Linked DNA regions of Schizosaccharomyces pombe. Changing the gene in region 1 together with any one later gene gives a genetic interaction. Each region holds a gene or a part of one and is shown on either strand. Other genes may lie near its edges.

Region 1 (8,204 bases):
TTTTTTTTTACACTAAAAATTTTCATACATTTTTTAAAACAATATGATATATATTTTTTTTTACAAAGTGTGAAACTTTGGAAATTTTTAGCATCTCTTTAAGCACTTTCCTTACCCTTCCGTAATACCAGCTTTATAACCAGCATCACCTACTTCACCACTTAACCGTAACCATAACACAAAAAGTATTTAAGAACAGGGTGACTTCCTTTTTTAACGTCTTTCAAGCACGTGTAAAAAACTAATATAAGAAAAAAAGTAGTAAAATTCTTATAAAGGAAACAGGGTAGTTTTCTAGTTTTGAAAAGTTTTTTTTTTTTTTCATTGTCGTTTTTCTTGTGATATGTCGGGAATCGCTGAATTCGATGGTATTTTAGATTCCCTTGAACATTCCAAGACAGGAATCTCGGGATCAAAAATTTTGAAATTGACTAACTTGTCGATGGAAAATGTTTCAGAGAATGCGCAATTTGTTGCTAGTGTGTATAAGTATGCGAAGCGTGCTCCCGTCACCCATAAATTAGGAGCTTTGTATATTCTAGACTCAATCGTTCGTAGCTTTCAGGACGGTGCTAAAAAGAATAATGAATCTTTTGAAAATCCCGTTGATGCGTCTTTTAGTGGCGGCTGGTGCAAAGCTGCTGAAATAACTGATAGTTTGGTCGCAGATGCTATACAGCATGCGCCATCTGCTCATTTGGTATGTGTAGCTGAAGTTTTTCAAGGTTGACTACGGATAAGATCCCGTATGGATAATCGTATGCTCTCTCTGCTTCTGTATCAGCGAGACACTGTATGAGAGAGGTATTTTTTCCTTGTAATACAGTATCATTCTCTTTGAGAAGTCTTTTAACATTATTGGACTAATTTGTAACTAACTAAGCATGTAGCCTAAAATATTAAAGCTTTGTGATATTTGGGAGAAGGCTTCAACATTTCCTCCCGAGAAGCTAGAATCGCTTCGTTCAAAGCTGAAAGATGCAATGGCAAGTACGGAACCGGTTAGTGTAGATTCTGCTGCTGCTCCATCACAGTCTACTAATCCCGAGGGGAATGGTGGTTCTGTTGGTAGTCAAGCAGCCGCCCCCACTTCTCGTCCTGTCGAAAACGATGCTGCTTCTATTCTAGAGGCATTGGCTGCTTTCGCTCAAAAGGCGCCCGTCCCTAGTGCTGCCGAAGAATCAGTTAGCACTCCACCGCAGCCTGCCGTCGCACCATCCGTTTCTGCTGTCGTCCCTAACCTACCTGTTCATCCAGCTACCGCCATTAATGCACAGTCTCAGTCAGGCAATCCATTATCAAACCCTCTATTCCAACCTTCAAATGTACCACAGTCTATTCCCTCTGGTCCCATGGGGATGAAGACAGGATCGGTCAATGATACCCAGAGTCAACAGATCACTCTCATGAATGTATTGGCTTCTCAGAATGTACCACCTGCACAAATCGATAGCATCATGAAAGCTGCTTTTCCCAACTATAACGCTCCATTCCAGCCGGCTGGTGTCGGCAGTGTTCCTTTGCCAGCTCCTACCTCTTCCCAATCCTTAAGACTCGGCTCCTTACATCGTTCTCGTAGCCCTAGTCCTCGTAGTGGTCGCCCTCGTCGTAGCCCTAGTCCTTCTCATTTATCCATTCCTTCTACTTTGCCTCCTGCAGATGGTGTGCCAAAACCTACCCCTGATGGATTTCCTCGCCGATTTGAGCGTGACCCAACCATTCCACCTGATTCTATTAAGGTATACAGCCGTACTCTTTTCCTTGGTGGTATTACTCGTTCTGTGCGAGAACCTGTTCTTCGATCTATGTTTGAACGATTTGGGTCTGTACAAAGTTTAATTTTAAATCATAATTACAGACACGGGTTCTTGAAAATGTTTCGTCGTGATGCTGCAGAGAAAGCTCAAGTAGCGATGGAAAATGTCCCTTTTGCTGATACTACTATTCGTACTAAATGGGGTGTAGGATTTGGACCTCGAGAGTGCTCTGACTTTTCCACAGGAATCAGCGTTATCCCAATCCGTTTGTTGACGGATGCCGATCGTACCTGGCTTGTAACTGCAGAATATGGCGGCACGGGTGGCCTTCCGATTACTCCTGGTATCGCTTTGGATGAACCTGATATTGAAATTGGATTAGGAATAAGTTCTAAGGCAATTAGTAAAAGAGGAAAAGATTTTGCTATGCGTCGTGATGAGCGATTCCGGGGTCGTAAACCATATAGGGGAGGTCCACCCATTCACCATGGTGAAAGGCATTTTGATTCAGGAAATGACTGGCATGGTAATCCTAGTACCGTTCCTCCCCCTACCAACCCATATAATCCCGGCTATCCATATATGGATCCTAATTACTCTTCTGGGTATGTCTCACAACCTCCTTGGCAACCCCAATAATGTGTTAAAAGACGCTTACAAGTATTATAATGATGGCAAAAATGGTTTCTATATTACAGACGGTATTTAAGGGTATAATGTATTCGGTCCAAATTTAATTGATTATTTTCTTTGTATTGTCTTGTTCAAACAATCTAGTTTGTCTGGGTGTCACATTAGTATTACATTTGTATCATTGTTGTACATCTTATACATCTATTTGCAAACAAAATGAAAAATCTTCGAAGTGTATTAAGCTATGTACAAAAAGATCAAATCTGCGATAAACAAAAGCATTCGTATAATTATATATAAACATTCGCAAGGTAAAGACAAAACCTTGTTTATTGTTCGGCATTAAGTATATTATAAAGCTCCCATAGTCGTGACCTGTCATCGTTTTTAAATGAAAAAAACCAGCCATCAATTCTCTTTCGCCATTGAATATCTTCGCTAAATTGCTTTTTTTCAAACTCTGGGCCGACATCGTATATTTCACTCATATCTGGAAAATTGATTATTGAGTTTATGCTACCATTAAAGCTACCTGAATTTTCGTTCAAGTACTGCGAGGTGGAGTCTGTATCCTCAAGATCATCAAACCCGCTAAAGGGATCTTCCGCTTCTTGACCAGAAATCGAATTATCAATCCATCGTAACCTTGTAGGGTCATATACCATATTTCCGACAACCTGGATTCCTTTTTTTGTAGAAATGTTGGAAATTAATGCTGGACGGCTAGGCGAGATAGGGGTATCAAAATCTCTAATTGCATAATCGTTTCCTTCCCAGCAATGTTTTGTGGGATTATATCGCATTTTTCCAACAATTTTTGGGGTTCTAGGGGAATTTAAATTTTGTATTAAAGTAGGTGCCTTTTTATGGTGTCTGCGTTTTTCTTTGACGCTCAATTGATCATTGGAAAGCGATTCTTTTGTTAACTCTTTAGAAGGGGCGGCATGAGTTTTGTGTTGCCTTTGAGACCGAATATGCTCATTTTTTGCTGAATTAGTTATATTATTTAAATTATTCTCATGTTTCGAAGTAGATCTAGGGGTAGTATGTGAATGCCATTCTTGAGTTGAACCTGCGTGTTTACTTTTAGGCGTTCCGGAAACTTTGGTAGTTTGCTTTTTTCTCAATTTAAGCTCAAATTCATAATCAACTGGTAATTCATCTAAAGTATCAAGTTCTGTACCATCTCCGTAAGTCTTGCAATTTTTAGGCTTTGTTCTGTATTTAGAATTACTTGCAACTGTCTTCAAAGCGTCCAAATCCATCAAACCCATCGAATTTTTCGAATGATAGATCTTCAAATTCGAGGGAGTCCATGTGGAGCTTATAGAAGAATTTCCCTTCACGGGAGAAGAATGTTTACTCGAAGCCTTCAACGTTTCTGGATAATGAGAAGACGTATCCCTTTTCGAAAGTGTTTTCGAAGAATACTTTAGGTTTGGGTTATCAGAATGAGGGTTTTCATTAGCGAGTGAAGGAAATATGTCTTTACAAAGGGGATAATATTTTGCATCCTGATGCACATTAGGTTGATAAGAAATTGTGGAGGAAATATAAGGATGCTTTTGGTTGATGGTATTTGGAGATCGAATCTTTTTCCGAAAGATCGATTCTGTTTCGTTATTAAAGTCAATATCAAAATCATCCCAAAAGCCGTCGTCATTATGCGCAGAGGAAGGCGTACGAAGCGAAGACTGTTCTACGCTGGAAAAGGAAGCTTTTGGATCCATCCTATTTTGTTTTCTGTGCAAAATACTGTTTAGGTCGGTATCTGGGTCTATTTCAAAATCATCTTCAAATGAAGAAAAGCCTTCCGATTCACAATAAGGGGAGTCCGAAACACTGGGATACCGAGCATCATTTTCACTTGAAAGATATGTTTTCTTAAGAGTATCACTAGAGAATGGAATTGGAGGTCTTTGAGAAGCAGTTTCAGATGCTCTAATAGTATTGAATTCATCAACATCGGCATCTTGGTATTTATTGGGACGAAGTGTATTAAACTCATTATTACCTTCTTCACCTTCTTCATCGAACGAAAAATCATCTTCATAGCCTTCTACATTGGAAGAAATTCGGTTCTTGTTGGAAGACAGTTCATGGTTTAAATTATGTACTTGTTGATTCCATTGTTCGACACGAGAATGAGCGCTTGGTACATCAGAAATTGAAAGGCTATTAAGACGACTAATAGAGTCGTCAAACGAGAACCCATCATCCACACTCGTACTAGCACTAGTGGTAGCTATGGATTGAGTAAATAGGCTAGCATTATCGACGTCGGAAGCAAAATCAGGATCATCGTCCCAGCATTCAACTTCAGTCATTCAATCAAAATAAACGTATACTAAAACGGCTTTGCTAAGAAAAGAAATTGGATGCAAAACGCATAGAATGATTACTAACCGTATTCACCCAAAACTGAAAACCCTAAATTTGATTTTCAAAGAAAAAGAAAGTGAGAGAGAAAAAGGATGGTCACTAATTTTGCAAAGAAGTAACCACTGTAAATATTTACGCTTTCAAACCCAGCTTCGAGAAGTAATAAGTTATGAACAGCAATTCAAAAGGACTTCAGGAATATGATTATGATGATGCTTTCAGAGATACAATGAAATTTTGTTTTGTATAGAAAGCAAAAAAAAGAATTTAACTTATTTCAATGACAAAATCAAGGAATCTGGGTTAGCGGTATATTGTTGAAAGAGACGGAGGTTGAGCTAGAGGTATAAGTGTAAACACCAACTTGATCAATTTACGTACTTTGGTTTCAGTACTTTACGAGAAATCAATTTTTAATAAGGTGAAAAATAAAGCATCTACTATTTGCTTGTGTAAACCTAAAAAAAAAATAGTTTTTTTTGGTATCTTTCAGTCATATTTATTTTTGCTAGATTAATCATAGTAAAATACTTAACCATATGTGATTGCCAAAATGCATAGCTGCACCTCACCTTAAAAAAATCTAGGTAATCTAATTAGCATGCAACTACGAGTTAATGTTTTTTAAAAAGTAGATAAATTACAACGAAGGTTAGTAGGTGAAGCAATAAATAGTATGTTTAATCGTCACTCGTATTAGCAAATTCATTCGTCTTAGAATTTTATTTTCCTCCACGAAAATATATATATTTTTCTTTGAACGTTTAAATTATTATAAACAATTGCTTTCTCTGAAATTTATGCCCATTTACAATTTAATTCTGTTTATGGAATCTACATATTCGTTCAAGTATATATGAAATACATTTTAAGGAATCTTTTTTTATTAGATTCTTCGTATAATTTCTAAAATACATACTATTTTCATATACGAGTTTAGATAAATTACAAAAAAAAAAAAAAAAAAAAACGATTAAACTATAGGTTAAAAAGTAAATCTATTAGTTTATAACAAAAGAAACGTCTTTGTTTTATTTTAGTTTATTTTTTTACATCTAAAAAGTTATTGAAATCAACAATGGTAAAGTTGAACAAATTAACTCTTCAATTCATAGGTATGAGAAACCGTTCTTCATTAGTAAATCCAAGTATGAAACATAATCATGTTTTTACCCCTATGCGATCGCGCTATTCATATTTTTCCTAAATTATTTTTAGCATCAATTCTGTCTATAGTTTCATATAATTTCAGTGATTTAATCATGTAATTATTCATGTAAAGTTCATAAAAAATATAGGTTGATGATCTTATTAATGTTTGTACTTAAGAAATGGTAAATCGAACAAGTTGAAAAAGTAAGCATGGCATCTGTCTTATACTCTTGTGCTTTTCTGTAAACCAAGCAGTTAAAAACATTATTGCTTGCTAGTAGCGAAGCAACTTACAAACATTTCTCATAGACGAGAAGTAACTCCATTTTTCAGATAGTCTAATAATAAGTCAAAGAAAAGGATGTTTAACATCATCCTAATCAAATTCATATAAAACTAATAATTGTTTTCCATCGAAGGAATCTATATATCGCACTACAAGGTGCAGTAACGAAACACTCAGATCGTGGAATCCGGATTGTGTTCTTAACCTTACGAGAAAAACGAGCCATTACGGTCGTGACTGTCCAGAAATCGTTCGATTTTTAAATATCTGAATTTAGTCTATTTTTTGATATAAATCCCCCTAATCCCATTCGCTGCTGGCACAGTGTTTTTGTGAAAACAAAACAACCAAGTTGTAAATTTAATTCGCAAGTTGAACAGTGTTTTGATTCTTCACTTGTGTTAATACCAATTCATCCAATCGGTTGTATCATATCTTAAATACCATTTTGGTTACTTTTTTTTTTGGACATTTTGAGCAAATCCGTAAAGTAAATAAAAAGATGTCTGACATTACCGTTGAGCCTATTGGCAAGCAGATGGAGAAGCTTATTCTCGATGTTCAGCAAGAAATTGTTGCTGGTCTCGAAGCTGTCGATGGACAAAAATTCTTCCAAGACAAGTGGACCAAGGGAGAAGGTGGTTATGGTATCAGTTGTGTTATTCAAGATGGCAACGTTTTTGAAAAGGGTGGTGTCAACACAAGTATTGTTCAAGGAAAATTGAATCAAGACGCTGTCCAAAGAATGCGTGCTAATCATGAAGGTATTGATCGTACTGCCAAAGAGCTTCCATTCTTTGCTGCTGGTATCAGTATGGTTATTCACCCTCGCAACCCCATGGCCCCTACTACTCACTTGAACTATCGTTACTTTGAACTTGTAAACAGTGATGGTAAGAAGATTTGGTGGTTTGGTGGTGGAGCCGATTTGACTCCTAGCATTCTCTTTGAAGAAGATGGCAAGCATTTCCACAAATTGCATAAAGAAGCTTGCGATCGCCATGACCCCACTTTCTATCCTCGCTTCAAGAAATGGGCTGATGAATACTTCCTCATCAAGCACAGAAAGGAGACTCGTGGCATTGGCGGTATTTTCTTTGATGATCTTTCTGAGAAAGATCCTCAAGAGTTATTTGCTTTCGTCAAGGATTGTGCCCATACCTTCCTTCCTGCCTATGTCCCTATTATGGAAAAGAGAAAGAACATGGAATTCACTGAAGATGATAAGGAATTCCAACTCATTCGTCGTGGATACTATGCCGAGTTTAACGTTATGTATGACAGAGGTACTTGGTTTGGTCTTCAAGCTCCTGAACCCCGTGTTGAATCTATTCTTATGACCCTTCCATTACATGCTTCCTGGCGTTACAAGTATGAGCCTAAACAAGAGCGTCACAAGGCTCTCCTTAAAGTAACGCATACCCCTATTGAATGGTGCTAGAAAGATTCACAAAAATGACTTTTACTTCAGCATTTAATGAACATCACAATTTTTGGTAATAGCTTTATTCTTTCGTTTGTTTTTAAACTATGCCATGTTACACTAACTCATGTTAAATTTTCTATCATGCCTTTTTTGCTCTTCATTATTTGGAATTCTTAACTGTTTGAATTTGCGATTTTGAATCCCTTTTCTAAGCTAATGAAACAATATTTTACCCTTTAAAAATCCGTATCTTTTATTGAGTAGTGTTTTATAAAGAGTTTTAAAGTAAAGTACAGTACCTATTTGGCTTGAGATCTAATTTCACAATATAAATTTCAACTGATCTGCACTTTCATTAACTTAATTTCAATGTATTTTTCTTTAAAATAATACGAATAAAAAAAAAGAAGATGAAGGTAAAATGTGTGTGTCTTGTCTTTATGATAAAACGACGTCGATCCCCAACGGATTGAGATAGACAAGTCATAAAACGTTAGCATCGGTACAAATTTTACAGTCGCTCTTTTCTTTCATTTGTATCTAATTCCCTTTTACACTCAAATACAGT
Region 2 (7,484 bases), on another chromosome or scaffold:
ACAAGATATTGAATCACACTGTATGTCAAATTATTAGAATTTTTAAATTTTTTACTAACCTACTTGCTATTAAGGGTACTGAGTGGGTCCCCATTGTGGTTGTTGGCAATAAGAGCGACTTGCATATGCAGCGTGCTGTTACCGCTGAAGAGGGAAAAGCATTGGCCAATGAATGGAAATGTGCATGGACAGAAGCTTCAGCTCGCCATAACGAAAATGTTGCTCGAGCATTCGAGCTAATTATCAGCGAAATTGAAAAACAAGCAAATCCTTCCCCTCCTGGTGATGGAAAGGGTTGTGTTATCGCCTAAGCTTCTGCTTGAATTTATCATATTATGGATTAATTTATTTTAACTGAATTAACGATTTTATCTTTGCTAATGCAAGATATGGGCTTACATTACATGAGGTGATACTTTGCACACAAACGTGTTTTTTTACACATGGGTTTACAAGATTTCGACTCTTTATTTCAAATATACAAGTACCTAAACTATGGTTTTAAAATTTAGTCAATGTAATACATAGTGGAGAAAGTACAGCCAGACATTGTAGACGTAATTTGTTGAGTTAGCTCTTCGGAAGTTTTAAACTAACCAAATTAATTTTTAGACATAGTATTGTTTATTAACATCTATACAAAACTATTTTGAATATTTCCCAAAATCGACCTTTTACCACTTTTCTTCATGAATCACTTAAGCTTCAGCTTTCCGCAATCGAAAGTGAAGGATATCCGTTTTACCTGGGACAATAACATCAGATTCGCCGACGTTTCCATTTACACCCACAATAGACATTGCTTCTCCACCCAATACCATTTGAGATACCTGTCCAGCAGTCGTTCCTTGCTTCACTAAGATGCAATCTCTGAAAACACCTTCATTAGGAGAGTTTGCAAAATTGTGAACGTTTTTAACGGGAAAAACTGGAATCAAATTTAAAAGTTCCATTGCCTTTGCTAAAACATTACAAACTCCAGTTGAACCGTGTCGAAATAATACCATGTCTTGGAGGTCTGCGATACGGGTTTTAAGATTTTCGCTCAAAGGTTTCAAGCCAGAGTCAGGAAAATCGTCTAGCGTATCAACAAATTCAGAGCCCTCCTCGTACTTAACAAACCCCTGTTTTGCCAATCTTCGAAGAAAAACTTCGGATATGGCTGAAGCCAGTACGAGTCGATTTGGATCTTCTTTTCTAGCTATTTTAGATATATTTGCATCCGCATCAGGATGATCAATTTTGTTAAGAGCAATAACGGTAGGAAACTTGATATCAACGAATCTGTTAACCACTTTTTCAATTGTATCATCATCCCATTTCTCCAAAGGTGTATCTAAATGTAGCGAATCTAAGACTTTAGCTGTAACAGCAGGGGTACTTCCATATCCAGAAAACTGGGATTGTAGTGTATTGACAGGATTGGCTTTCGTAGCAATATGCCTACGAACTATATTAGGCCATTTCTCTCTCAGATTGTTTCCGATCCATGCAGTTATTTCCTTATACAACCAAGCGATATCTACAGAAGGATCATATCCACGACACACTTTTCCTTCCGCATCAGTAGTACCTGAGACATCTACCACATGGACCAAAGCATCGGCATGCCGTAAATCGTCTAAAAATTTATTGCCAAGCCCCTTTCCAGCATGCGCACCTGGAATAAGACCAGCTACATCAAGCAGCTGAATAGGAATTGAACGTACACCATTTTTGCAACCACCATAAATTGGTTTACATTTGTCCTGTAGTCCAAATCTTGAGCACGCGCATTCTATTTGAGCATAGCCAATAGCCCGGTTTGGCTCAATAGTGGTAAAAGGGAAATTACCAGTTTTAGCAGTGGCATCTGTCAACGCATTCAGCATCGTAGATTTACCACTGGAGGGCTTGCCAACAAATCCAATTAAAATGTCTCTACCCATTATTTGGAAACCTTAGAAGAAGTATGTGAGAAAAATTGGTACTGAAATCCAGGACCTACTCGTACTCTGCAATCTGAGAATTAGAGTAGTGGTAAGGGTCGAGTGTTTCGTAATACCTGCTTTTAGGACTAAAGATTTAAAGGATTGTTTGCTTGCACATTTATAATATTTTTTTTTTAGCATAATTTATTTTATTGTTATTATGTTATCTTCGACATAGTTTGAAACAGTAGATTGTAGGCCGTCTACAGGCAAAGAGGATGGTTGTAAGGAGAAAAAGTGTACAGAATAATTTATCTCGAAATCTCAAAGCTCAAGAGAAAGCTAATGACTATAAAACTATCGTCCGCAATGTATGCGGTAATTCCTTAACACTGAAAATCCAGTTTGCAATCTGTTAAAAAATGTTCATGAAAATCAGTTAATCTATGTAGTGTAAATGGGTAACTTTTCAACCATATGGTTTAGGGAAATGGAAAGAAATGGGTATAAATAACAGTTTTTTCTAGTGAGAAATGAATAGTTTGAGGAACAACCCAGCAACAATGCACGTGAAAAGTACGGAAAACAAAGAAAGAATTTCAAGTCTGTGCTTCAATCGAACAGTCGTATGCAATTTCTTAGGGCCCGGAAAATTCCCTGTTTCAAGAAGCGTATCGATAAGTTTATCTTTCTCATACCATCTTTGATAAAGCCAATCCGTAAACTGATCTTCTTCAGTGGGAATTTCCGAAATTGGGAAGCGACGAACGTGAATATGAAGCCTTTTGATGGGGACTCCTTCAAAAAAGAGCTTAGGTAAAGAGAAAGCATCGGCGGCATATTTCTTAGGAGAGGGATCAGAAAAATAAAATGTGTAATCGTACAAATAAGTCATCGAATCACGAAGCTGACTGATACTATAAAAGAGCCCTCGCACACGTGGGAGCATTAAATGCTTTGGCATTTTGACTCCAATTTTATCGGCATACACCCTGCTCCTTTGATATGTGCTTTCAACCAAGTTGGTTCCTTCTGGGAAGAGAATGAGACTGACGGAATCACGTACATTGCGAATGAACTTGAAATGACGAGACATAGTCTCGTAGTCTTTGTCCCATTTGCGAGAAAGGAAAATGAATCTAAACAATTGCATACCCCAACCTATAACTGGCAACCATTTGAGAGAGTTTTTTAACATAATATAAACATGACCATGCTGTTTAGCAGTGTACGATAACCACCAAACGTACATCCAGTCCGAGTAAAGTTGATGGTTTGCGATAACTATGTTGCGTTCAGCAGCAATTGTTTCCAAGCAACCATTTCTATCCAAATAAAACAAATTTCGAAGCTCGGGATCATAGGTGAGAGTTACAGGAGTCGGACTAAAAAGCTGGACCAAAGCGGTAAACAGAATACCGGCGAATGATTTTGTAAAAGCAATATATTTGTTATAAAGCTCCTTGTTGACAAAATACAGAGGAGTTCCAATAACTTCCGAGGTATAAATGGTAACTGAACCAACAGCCAAACATAATATGAATGAATACTTGCGAATCGCAATTCTGCATGTCATGTTGTCAAACCTAAATGAATTAAAGGAACCTAAATCAAATCTCAAGAAATAAAAGACTGTTAAATAGAATCCAGAGAAAGTTAGCAAAGTCGGTTTTAGTGATGCCCTTTCGCGTTTCTCACCGCACAGTAAAAGTCGTACACGAACACTAAATAGACACCAATTTGAGCAAAAAAAATCCCAAAAAGAAAATTAAAAGCTCTCTGCTTTCTTTTTAATTTCTTAGCCGCACGTTTAGCACCAAAGTGTAATTCAGGGAATGTCAGTGGTTATAGGCAGTGGGTAAAGAAGTAGCGATCGTACGTTGTCAATTTGTAAAAGTGCTCGGACCTAAACATACGGTCGTATGAATATGATAGGTATTCCAGTAATTAATTTGCGCTTAATATTGGTTGGCTGGATGGTCTTGAAAGTTGAACGGTAGAATGACCACGTTTGTTTACGAGGAAGGGACGATGAGTGGAAGGTTGGCACAAACCAAGCCTACCAGAACCCAACTCATACCAACTTTTTTGCATTTTCTTTCATGTTTGGATTTAGTAATAAGACAGCGAAGACATTCCGTGTAAGGAAGACTGAAGCGGGAACGAAGCATTATCAACTACGGCAATATGCTGAAGCAACGCTGGGATCTGGCTCTTTGATGGAAGCAGTAAAACTGCCCAAGGGAGAAGATTTGAATGAATGGATTGCTATGAACAGTAAGCTAAGATATAAAATTGACACTTCAAGAACTTTTATTAATTGAATACTTCTAGCAATGGATTTTTATACACAAATTAATATGTTGTATGGTACAATCACTGAATTTTGTACGGCGGCTTCCTGTCCTCAAATGAATGCTGGACCAAGTTATGAATATTACTGGCAGGATGATAAAATATACACCAAACCCACTCGCATGAGTGCTCCCGACTATATTAACAATCTGTTGGATTGGACTCAAGAAAAGTTGGATGACAAGAAGCTCTTCCCCACTGAGATTGGTGTTGAATTCCCAAAGAATTTTCGCAAAGTGATTCAGCAAATATTTCGAAGGTTGTTTCGCATTTATGCTCATATTTACTGTTCCCACTTTCACGTAATGGTAGCAATGGAGCTTGAAAGCTATCTGAATACATCATTTAAACACTTTGTATTTTTCTGTAGGGAATTTGGGTATGTGTTTCAATTTACTTACTTAAAGATGTTAACAACAAATTTCAGCCTTATGGATAACAAGGAATATGCACCAATGCAAGACTTGGTAGATAGCATGGTTTAAGAACAGTTTTGTAGTTATTCAGGAACAGGAAATGGGAGGTAAACTCGGTTCCCAAACTTACCAATTTAATGTTTTATTTTATCCCTACCATTACCATTTTATCCAGACCTTAGCACAATTTTTTATGGAAAATTTCTTCTTTTCATTTCAATCATTCACTTGAGTGATTACCATAAAGAATAGTTGCTAAAATTACTCTTTCTACTCCTCCACTTTTTTCTTATGACACTGCATTCTTTTAACTACTTTTGAAAAGTGTGGCATATCGCCTTTGCATAGGCTACTTGTGCAAAATATTCTCGCATTCTCTAAAGTGTCTATCTTCATACAATTCATTTTATTTATAACATTTCATGTATCATATGTCTCTGGAATCTTTATTTCAGGTTTCTGTTAAATACCGAAAAAGACTGCATCGTTATTTGAGAAACTACTTACTGAATGGTGGTGGATGTGAGATAGTAAATGTGCGAAATAATCTGAACTTTTTAATTCCCTATTATTTTAGTCTTTTTGCTTTTCATCTTATTTTTTTTTTTTAGTTTTGATGATCTGAGGATGGAAAGAAGGAAAGCAACCGTCCATGTGGGTAAGGATCAATGAATTCATCGTTGTTATGATATATCTATGAGTTTCATGATACCGCTTCCTCATATGGCCATTTATCTACGATAAATGTTTGAGGTTATGATTTAACTTGTTGAATATTATATGACGGCGATACTTCGTTTTAAAAGATTGTTGTTTTCAAAGATCTGTTTGCTAACTTTCTTTTTAGGTAACTTGGCTCCATCTGTAACAGAATCTCTTTTATACAATGCTTTCATTCCGTTTGGAGAGATTATCTCAGTTGCATTACATCGTAAAGAAAAAGGTAAAGTAGTCATGTATTGGTGTCATGTTGGTAAACAACTAGTTTTGATGCCATGAAAATGCTCAAACATTTTAAAAGTTTAGCTAACTTTCTAGCTGTGGACCGTTCCTACGCGTTTGTAGAATTTGATGAACCAGAAGACGCTAAAGAAGCTATGGAAAATATGAACTATTCTATTCTCTGTGATCGTTGTATCAGAGTATCGCCTGCAAATTTTGCGTTATCAGCTGAAGAGACAGCAGTTCCAGATATAGGTAAGAAAAATAGCTGCTGAAGAGGCTTTCAATTTTTTATGCTCTTTACTAATTTACGTAGCAATGTTGCATCCTGAGTCAGCGGATTTTCAAACTTTCAAATCGACTTCTACTCCTACCTCTTAATTTTGTAAGATATTGTTTTCTTTGTAATTGCCTCACCTTATAATAAAGCAAAATTGGGCATGCGAGTGACTATAGGTGAATTGTCTCCTTTTAAGTACTATATTTTTAAAGAGAATACCTCATCCTCCCTCCTTTTTTATCATTTTTATTCTTTACATTTCGAACCGACACCCATTCATCTTTTGTTAATGGAATTGCTATGCATTTAAGCCTTTTTGGAAAGCAAGGCTTGGTATTTACGATTGACGCTTCAACATTACTTTAGCATTGATTTCTTTATTATCCAAGAATTCATAGTTATTGAATGAATATACATACCTATACATATATCAGTTTTGCAAATCTTCCCCTTTGCGCTTTAAAACTCTCATACTCAAAATATCATTTCATAGTGCACTAAGGGAATTTAAGCCCGTATATTCCGTAACGTTATGTTAAAGTAATAGGGTAGGGTTTTGTGACCTGTTGTGACTGCTCAATTTTACTATAAATGGATGTACAAGAGTTTACCATTCCCCATCTTTGTGCACGGGTATTACGCTTATCAGTGAGGAACTTTTCCTAGATGGCGTTATTGCTAGTTGAAAACTATTACCCTGACCGCTCCAACTCTCGTTAAGAGTTTTGGGAATATTTGGAAACCAACTTATTGCAATAACTCATATGTTTACAATGTATGTCTTTAGCAATTTGGTGGTTTTTTATTTTTTGTAAAATTAATTTTATATGATTTTGTGTATTTTTTATTAATGAAAGCACCAGTGAATTTCTGCTAATAGTAATAATGTGCTTACCGAAATAAGGAGCTAAAAGCATTCAGTAATCTTTTGCTAGGCAGAGATCAAGATAACGTAAATTTTGTTATATAATATGTTACGCTTTCCTTGTTTTATAGACCTGTTAGCCATTAGTAGTGCACAAGTGTTATAAATAGTCATTGTTTATTACTTGTGAATCTGAATCTAAATTACCAAGAGATCAAACCGAAAAATGATTTATTTCATAGCGTAAACTGAAGTGTGAAATGTAAAGTCGGGTATGATAAATATATCTAGCTTTCTGTTGAAGAGAACACATTAAAAGTATTATAATGGATAAAAGAGAGAAATATTTTGAGCAGATGTGGGAAAACATACAAAAACTCAATCGATATTTGTGAAACATTACTATGTATTTTACAGGTAAATAAAAAGATATACAATGAGGGCTTTTTAGGCAACTTCCAAAGCTTGAGCAAAGTCGGCGATAATATCATCGATGTGCTCAATACCGACGGCCACACGAATAAGATCCTTAGTGACACCGGCAGAAATTTGCTCCTCATCAGTTAATTGTAAATGAGTGGTATAGGCAGGAGCGATAACCAAAGTTTTGGCATCACCAACATTGGCCAACTGACTAGCAAGCTTTAAGGCATTGACTACCTTACGACTTTGATCAGGGCCACCTTTAGCGCCAAAGCTGAGAACGGCGCCGTAAC
Region 3 (4,824 bases), 1.8 Mb from region 1:
ATTTGAGAAGGGGACATACCCTTCTTGGAGAACTTAAGAATTTGCTCGACAACGGAGTCGGCATCAGCCTTGCACCAAGCAGGGGGAGAGCGAACGTAGGGTAAAGCGGAAGAAGCGATACCCTTTCCTTTGCTATGCATACGACCCATTTTGATTTAATTTGTTTGGTTAAGGTGCAACTTTGAGTGAGAGGTGTGTGCTGAAGAAATAAAATTCTAGGTTGTGTTTCAAACACATAGAAAGCGTGACTGCTCGTTGTTATTAAAACCCTACCCTAGTATTATGTTAGTCGGTCAATCAGAACACCAGCTTCAGAATCCCACGCATGGCGAGCTAACAAGTTATACAGTTCTGGCGGTAATTTCGAAATAAGGAGAATGGTAATTTTCATTATATTTTTTGCATTTAAAGGAGGAAACGTTCGTAATAGGGTCATGGGGCTTTATCGTTAGCATGCGTTATTTATTTATTTTTTTTAATTTGAGAAAGGATGAGAAAGAAGAGACATATGATGAACCCAAATGAAAGTAAAGTTTAAAAAAAAAAAAAAAAAAAAAATTGTTCCATAATTTTCTCCTCTTTTGTAAATCCTTCATTATAATGAAAGGGTGATGAGAAAATACTTACCTTGGATGATCGATGAGCTGCTCTCGGAAAATAAACATTTGTGCAATCACACATAGGATATTAAGGTGTATTCCATAAGCAAACAAAAAATCCCATATGGTAAGAGCTTCGGATAATGGGGCAGTACAAGCACTCAAAGTAAGTATAGCTATATGTGAAAAGTAAAGTTAATACCTATTAATTCTTTTCACAAAACGACAAATAAATTCGCTATTCACTTACATGGTAAAGCGTAAATTTTTGCGGTAAGCCCTTTGGATAAAAGATACGTGTACAAACGATGGTCAAGGACTTCAAGGCATTTATCCAATAACTGTAATTGAGTTAGTAAATTGACAATAATAGATTAATAAATAGGAGCATTAAAACAATAAATAAACAGTTACTTACCTTTGCGCCGCGATGAACACCATCAATGTTTGGGAGGACATATAGAGGGCATTCATTTTGTAGCAGACGGTCAAAGAACTGAAAAGCTTGGTTTTCGCTTTTACAAGCATACAAAAAAGGTGATGCTAACACATTCATACCTTGAACATATAAAGCACCTCGTTTCCAGACATAAGCATTTAATAAACGTGAAAGAGACGATTGAGACACACGAGAATGAAACTGAGATTCTACGACCAGGGTTCTTGAAACATCATTTTGAATCTTTTGTGCCATAGGAGACGGTCCTTGGCGAACATATCGTATGTATTCGTCAGCGTTCCGTGGGGGGGCATTCAAAAGAACTGCCCAAACATATGGCCTGGTGCTTGAATTCCCACCTTCATCCGACTCAACTTGATCAAGCATGACCATGTAACGAAGCCTAGAGATACATTTCGATTGGTTTTCTGGTGATTTGGGCGCTAACTTTTGAAGTCGCTTGCAGTCAATACTCGGCATCCTTAGAAACCAGCCTATACAATTTGAAGAAAACTAAAATGAGGACCAGTATGAATTCAAAACATAAATATAAGCAAAAATGAATTAATAAAATGCAATTGAATGGAAAATAAGAGGATAATGAGGAAACAGTGAAGGTTGGTTTACAACGAAGATACAACTGTAAGTAGGTATAGTACACTATTGGCCTTTCAATAGGTTGATGGCTTTAATAATTTACAAAGCTGACTCATTTAGAAATAGCTTTCGAAATTTTTATTAATCTTGTTTTAATATAGAACATTACAGTTTGACTTTCAAAATTCTACATATTTATGCCAGCAATTAGAGAGTTAGTTGTCTTAGTCCTTACAGTGCCAGAAGATTTCCACCAGCAAAGATTTTTATTATTTTCGGTTTTCAATTAGTATTATAAAATAAAAACTGTAGCTATCTTGAGAAGAAAAAAATTAGAAAGATTGTTATTACAGTGCTGAACATCTAACCAGTAAACAGAATGCCTGTCAATTGAGACGAGCTCTTTGATTATATTATCTTTTTTTTTTAAAAAAATACATAATACTAAGTATCTCTCTAATCGTCCTTGAGGAAGCATCATTGTACTTTGTAAATGTTCGATTAAACGTCGTGATATCCGTTATCATATTTATATAGAATTTCGATACTGCATGTAATAAAAAACACTTCTGAACCGATTAATGCAAAATTCAGATTTGCTCAATAGTTATTAAGCCTATTCTGTTTTTAGCCTTGCATAATGACCGTAGTCAGTAAAAAGAAATATAAATTTACTTTAACAATAAAATATATTTAAACTATTATGTGTCTTGTTAACTCTTAAGATCTCGGAATTCGTTGGTTCATCGATTGATACTTGGTCACTACTACCAACAATACTAGATCGTCGCGCAACTGACTGCTTATGGTTTGCGAGCCATTAGAAAGTTACTATAACAGTGCTACATTATTTACAAATAATAAAAGTTTTTGATTGCTTCAAGCCGATCATTTTTTATTTTGTTCATCAAATTTGTACATTCTCTAAATTAAAAGTGAAAATGTCGACTCCCAATTCGACGCCTAGCGAGCCAGTACGTTGCATTAAAAGATAATATTTATTTATTTTGTTTACTAATAATTCTAAAACTTAACAGCCCGTGAATGTTTCCTATTATGAACAGTGCAAAAAGGAGCTTCATGAAATGATTGAAAAGCGACAATTGTTGGAAACTTCGTTAATAGGTCTCGAGGACTCTATCTATAGGCTGGAAGGCAGTTACTTAGAAAAAACATCGGGTACTGGCAACATTATTCGTGGATTCGAAGGTCTTTTAAAAAACAATGCATCAAACCTCCGCCGTCGTGCAGACTATTCGGAATCAGACAGACTGTTTTCTCTTTCTTCCCTGTCGAGTCCCCATACACGTAGTCCAGCTTATGACCTCGACGACTCGACAGAAACTAGTCGAAGAAGAAAACGAAAAAATGAATCTGATAGTCACGAAGGAAGAAGACGTTCTTCTTTTCGAGAACTATAATGTTACTCAGAAAACGGATATAAAGAATATACTTTAAATTTTATGAGGAAGTTCCTTTTTCGGAGCTTTTACAAATCAATTTGCGATTATTTTCTCCTTCTTCTAAGTATTTTGCAATAGCGCTACAAAATTACGGCTTAACTAGCTATTCAAAGTTTGTCCTTTAGAACAGTTACTATTTATGACTTGTATAATACAATTTTCATTTTCAAAAAATAAGCATCTCTTATGTAACGTGTGTATCTACAATCAAAGATTGATATTCCTGTATTTTGCGCTAGCATCATTTAATCAACCCAGCTTTGAATAGAAAAAAAGGGTGAGAAACAATTCACGTTTGTTACGAGGAGAGGGAAGCATGAAGCATATATAAAGATCATAACTACGTATGAAGATACGATGAAAGAAAGGATCAACATGGGACGGAACATTAAGCACGAACAAATGACCTACCAGTAGCTGTCTTTCTCTCCAATTCCACATCGGGCTTGGCCCGGTTCAAAACCTTTTGGAAGTCAGCAACACGCTTACGCATACGTTGGTGCATGTAAGCCTTGGAAGCCTTAATGTGAAAGTGTAGGGTGTTGCGGAAAACCTGGATATGAGATATGCAATCTTCACGATTTTGAGGTGTAAAATGACGCTCAAATAAAACGAATGTTACAAATCCAAAGTCATCACCCTTTTGAATACCCTGAATATCACGAATCTCCAAAGGTGGATCTCTATAGGAAAAGAGCACTTGAGGAGCGGTTTGAATAGCCGGACGGCGACGGGCATCAACGAATTCCTGCAAGAATACCTTGCCAAAGATGCGATCAGTCTCTTCACGGAATTTCGTTGAAAAGACGACTGTAACGCGATCATGCTCAGGCCATAAAACAATAGTTTCTTCATCACGATAATGAATTGCCATGAGCTCCTGAGAAGTGGCTTGCTTGTCAAGCATAGGGGCATTTTCCGGGTCTTTACGAGCCAAATCAGCTAGTTCGGCTTGTTTGGTGAATGCACGGTGGAAGGGAGCAGCTAAAACGTTTCTTTTTAACATAGAAATAGACATAGCTAATTGTTCTTTTTCCTCATCGGTAGCGGGAAGTTGTTGTAAGTCTATAAGAATACTGAAGTTGTATCCCATTTCAGGTTCATGCACATAAGCACCGTAAATCTGTTTCAGTAAATCCAGAGTACCGTAATTAACAAGCTCAGGATAGCATTTCATAGACAGACTGATCAAGATTTTCGTCTTTTCCTCAGGAGTTGAAATGTGGAACGTGACGCCATCAAAATCAGTTACCACTTGATCAATCGACGACGGGTTTTCGCTATAAATTAGTGAAATTCTTTATTGTTTGTTTCACATACCTTGAAAACCTTTCTGTCAGTAACTCGTAAATGAATATATTGTTATAATCTAATGAGAGCATGGTTGATGGTTAACGTGTGACGGACCCGGGAATTCTTATTACTCAGGTTCATATAGTGTTATAAATCCTTATACTGAGGCATCTGCAAACATGTAAGAAAACAACAGATCATATTAAAACCATGAACTCAATATATATTTTTAAAGAACTAACAATCTTTTTGTTCTCATTCTTTGTTCTAGATTACCTTTTGCTTCTTAGGTAAACTTCTACTATTTTACCGTCTATGGATATACTGAATATTTTATCTAAAATGTTAGAAATTAAAAAAAAAAAAAAAAAATTAATCAGTATATTAGGAGTTCTGAATCTAATTACTTTATCTAATTCGAAGTGTACCAATA

Evidence for each region.
Region 2: of byr4 (region 1) and mob1, a mutation in one rescues a mutant of the other (synthetic rescue), as found in Schizosaccharomyces pombe (2 studies listed by BioGRID).
Region 3: of byr4 (region 1) and cdc16, extra expression of one rescues a mutant of the other (dosage rescue), as found in Schizosaccharomyces pombe (5 studies listed by BioGRID, with this or other methods).

The regions. Positions count from the first base shown.
Region 1 is NC_003424.3:959,718-967,921, forward strand, and holds byr4 (two-component GAP Byr4), read right to left. Parts: upstream 5,092-8,204; 5' UTR 4,718-5,091; coding exon 2,720-4,717; 3' UTR 2,597-2,719; downstream 1-2,596. Other genes in the region: poly(A)site selection protein Seb1, read left to right, coding at 344-700, 891-2,396; hem13 (coproporphyrinogen III oxidase), read left to right, coding at 6,713-7,651; SPOM_SPAC222.17 (uncharacterized protein), read right to left, coding at 8,148-8,204. UniProt on the Schizosaccharomyces pombe protein: Has an essential role in ensuring cytokinesis and septation occur only once during mitosis. It does so by interacting with the ras1 signaling pathways, thereby suppressing them.
Region 2 is NC_003423.3:466,654-474,137, reverse strand, and holds mob1 (Sid2-Mob1 kinase complex regulatory subunit Mob1), read left to right. Parts: upstream 1-3,974; 5' UTR 3,975-4,012; coding exon 4,013-4,187; intron 4,188-4,244; coding exon 4,245-4,644; intron 4,645-4,692; coding exon 4,693-4,750; downstream 4,751-7,484. Other genes in the region: Rheb GTPase Rhb1, read left to right, coding at 1-20, 75-311; SPOM_SPBC428.15 (Obg-like ATPase), read right to left, coding at 699-1,928; mlg1 (1-acylglycerol-3-phosphate acyltransferase), read right to left, coding at 2,434-3,486; SPOM_SPBC428.12C (peptidyl-prolyl cis-trans isomerase E), read left to right, coding at 5,309-5,339, 5,529-5,624, 5,720-5,878, 5,940-6,004; homocysteine synthase Met17, read right to left, coding at 7,216-7,484. UniProt on the Schizosaccharomyces pombe protein: Has a role in promoting the onset of septum formation during the latter stages of mitosis.
Region 3 is NC_003424.3:2,746,492-2,751,315, forward strand, and holds cdc16 (two-component GAP Cdc16), read right to left. Parts: upstream 1,666-4,824; 5' UTR 1,519-1,665; coding exon 1,018-1,518; exon of another isoform or gene 941-1,017; coding exon 850-940; exon of another isoform or gene 776-849; coding exon 628-775; exon of another isoform or gene 441-627; coding exon 281-440; 3' UTR 176-280; downstream 1-175. Other genes in the region: rps13 (40S ribosomal protein uS15), read right to left, coding at 1-149; NuA4 histone acetyltransferase complex subunit Eaf6, read left to right, coding at 2,577-2,609, 2,673-3,056; arc2 (ARP2/3 actin-organizing complex subunit Arc34), read right to left, coding at 3,487-4,378, 4,419-4,480. UniProt on the Schizosaccharomyces pombe protein: Has a dual role in the cell cycle. In mitosis, it is involved in maintenance of cdc2 kinase activity. It is subsequently required for regulation of septum formation.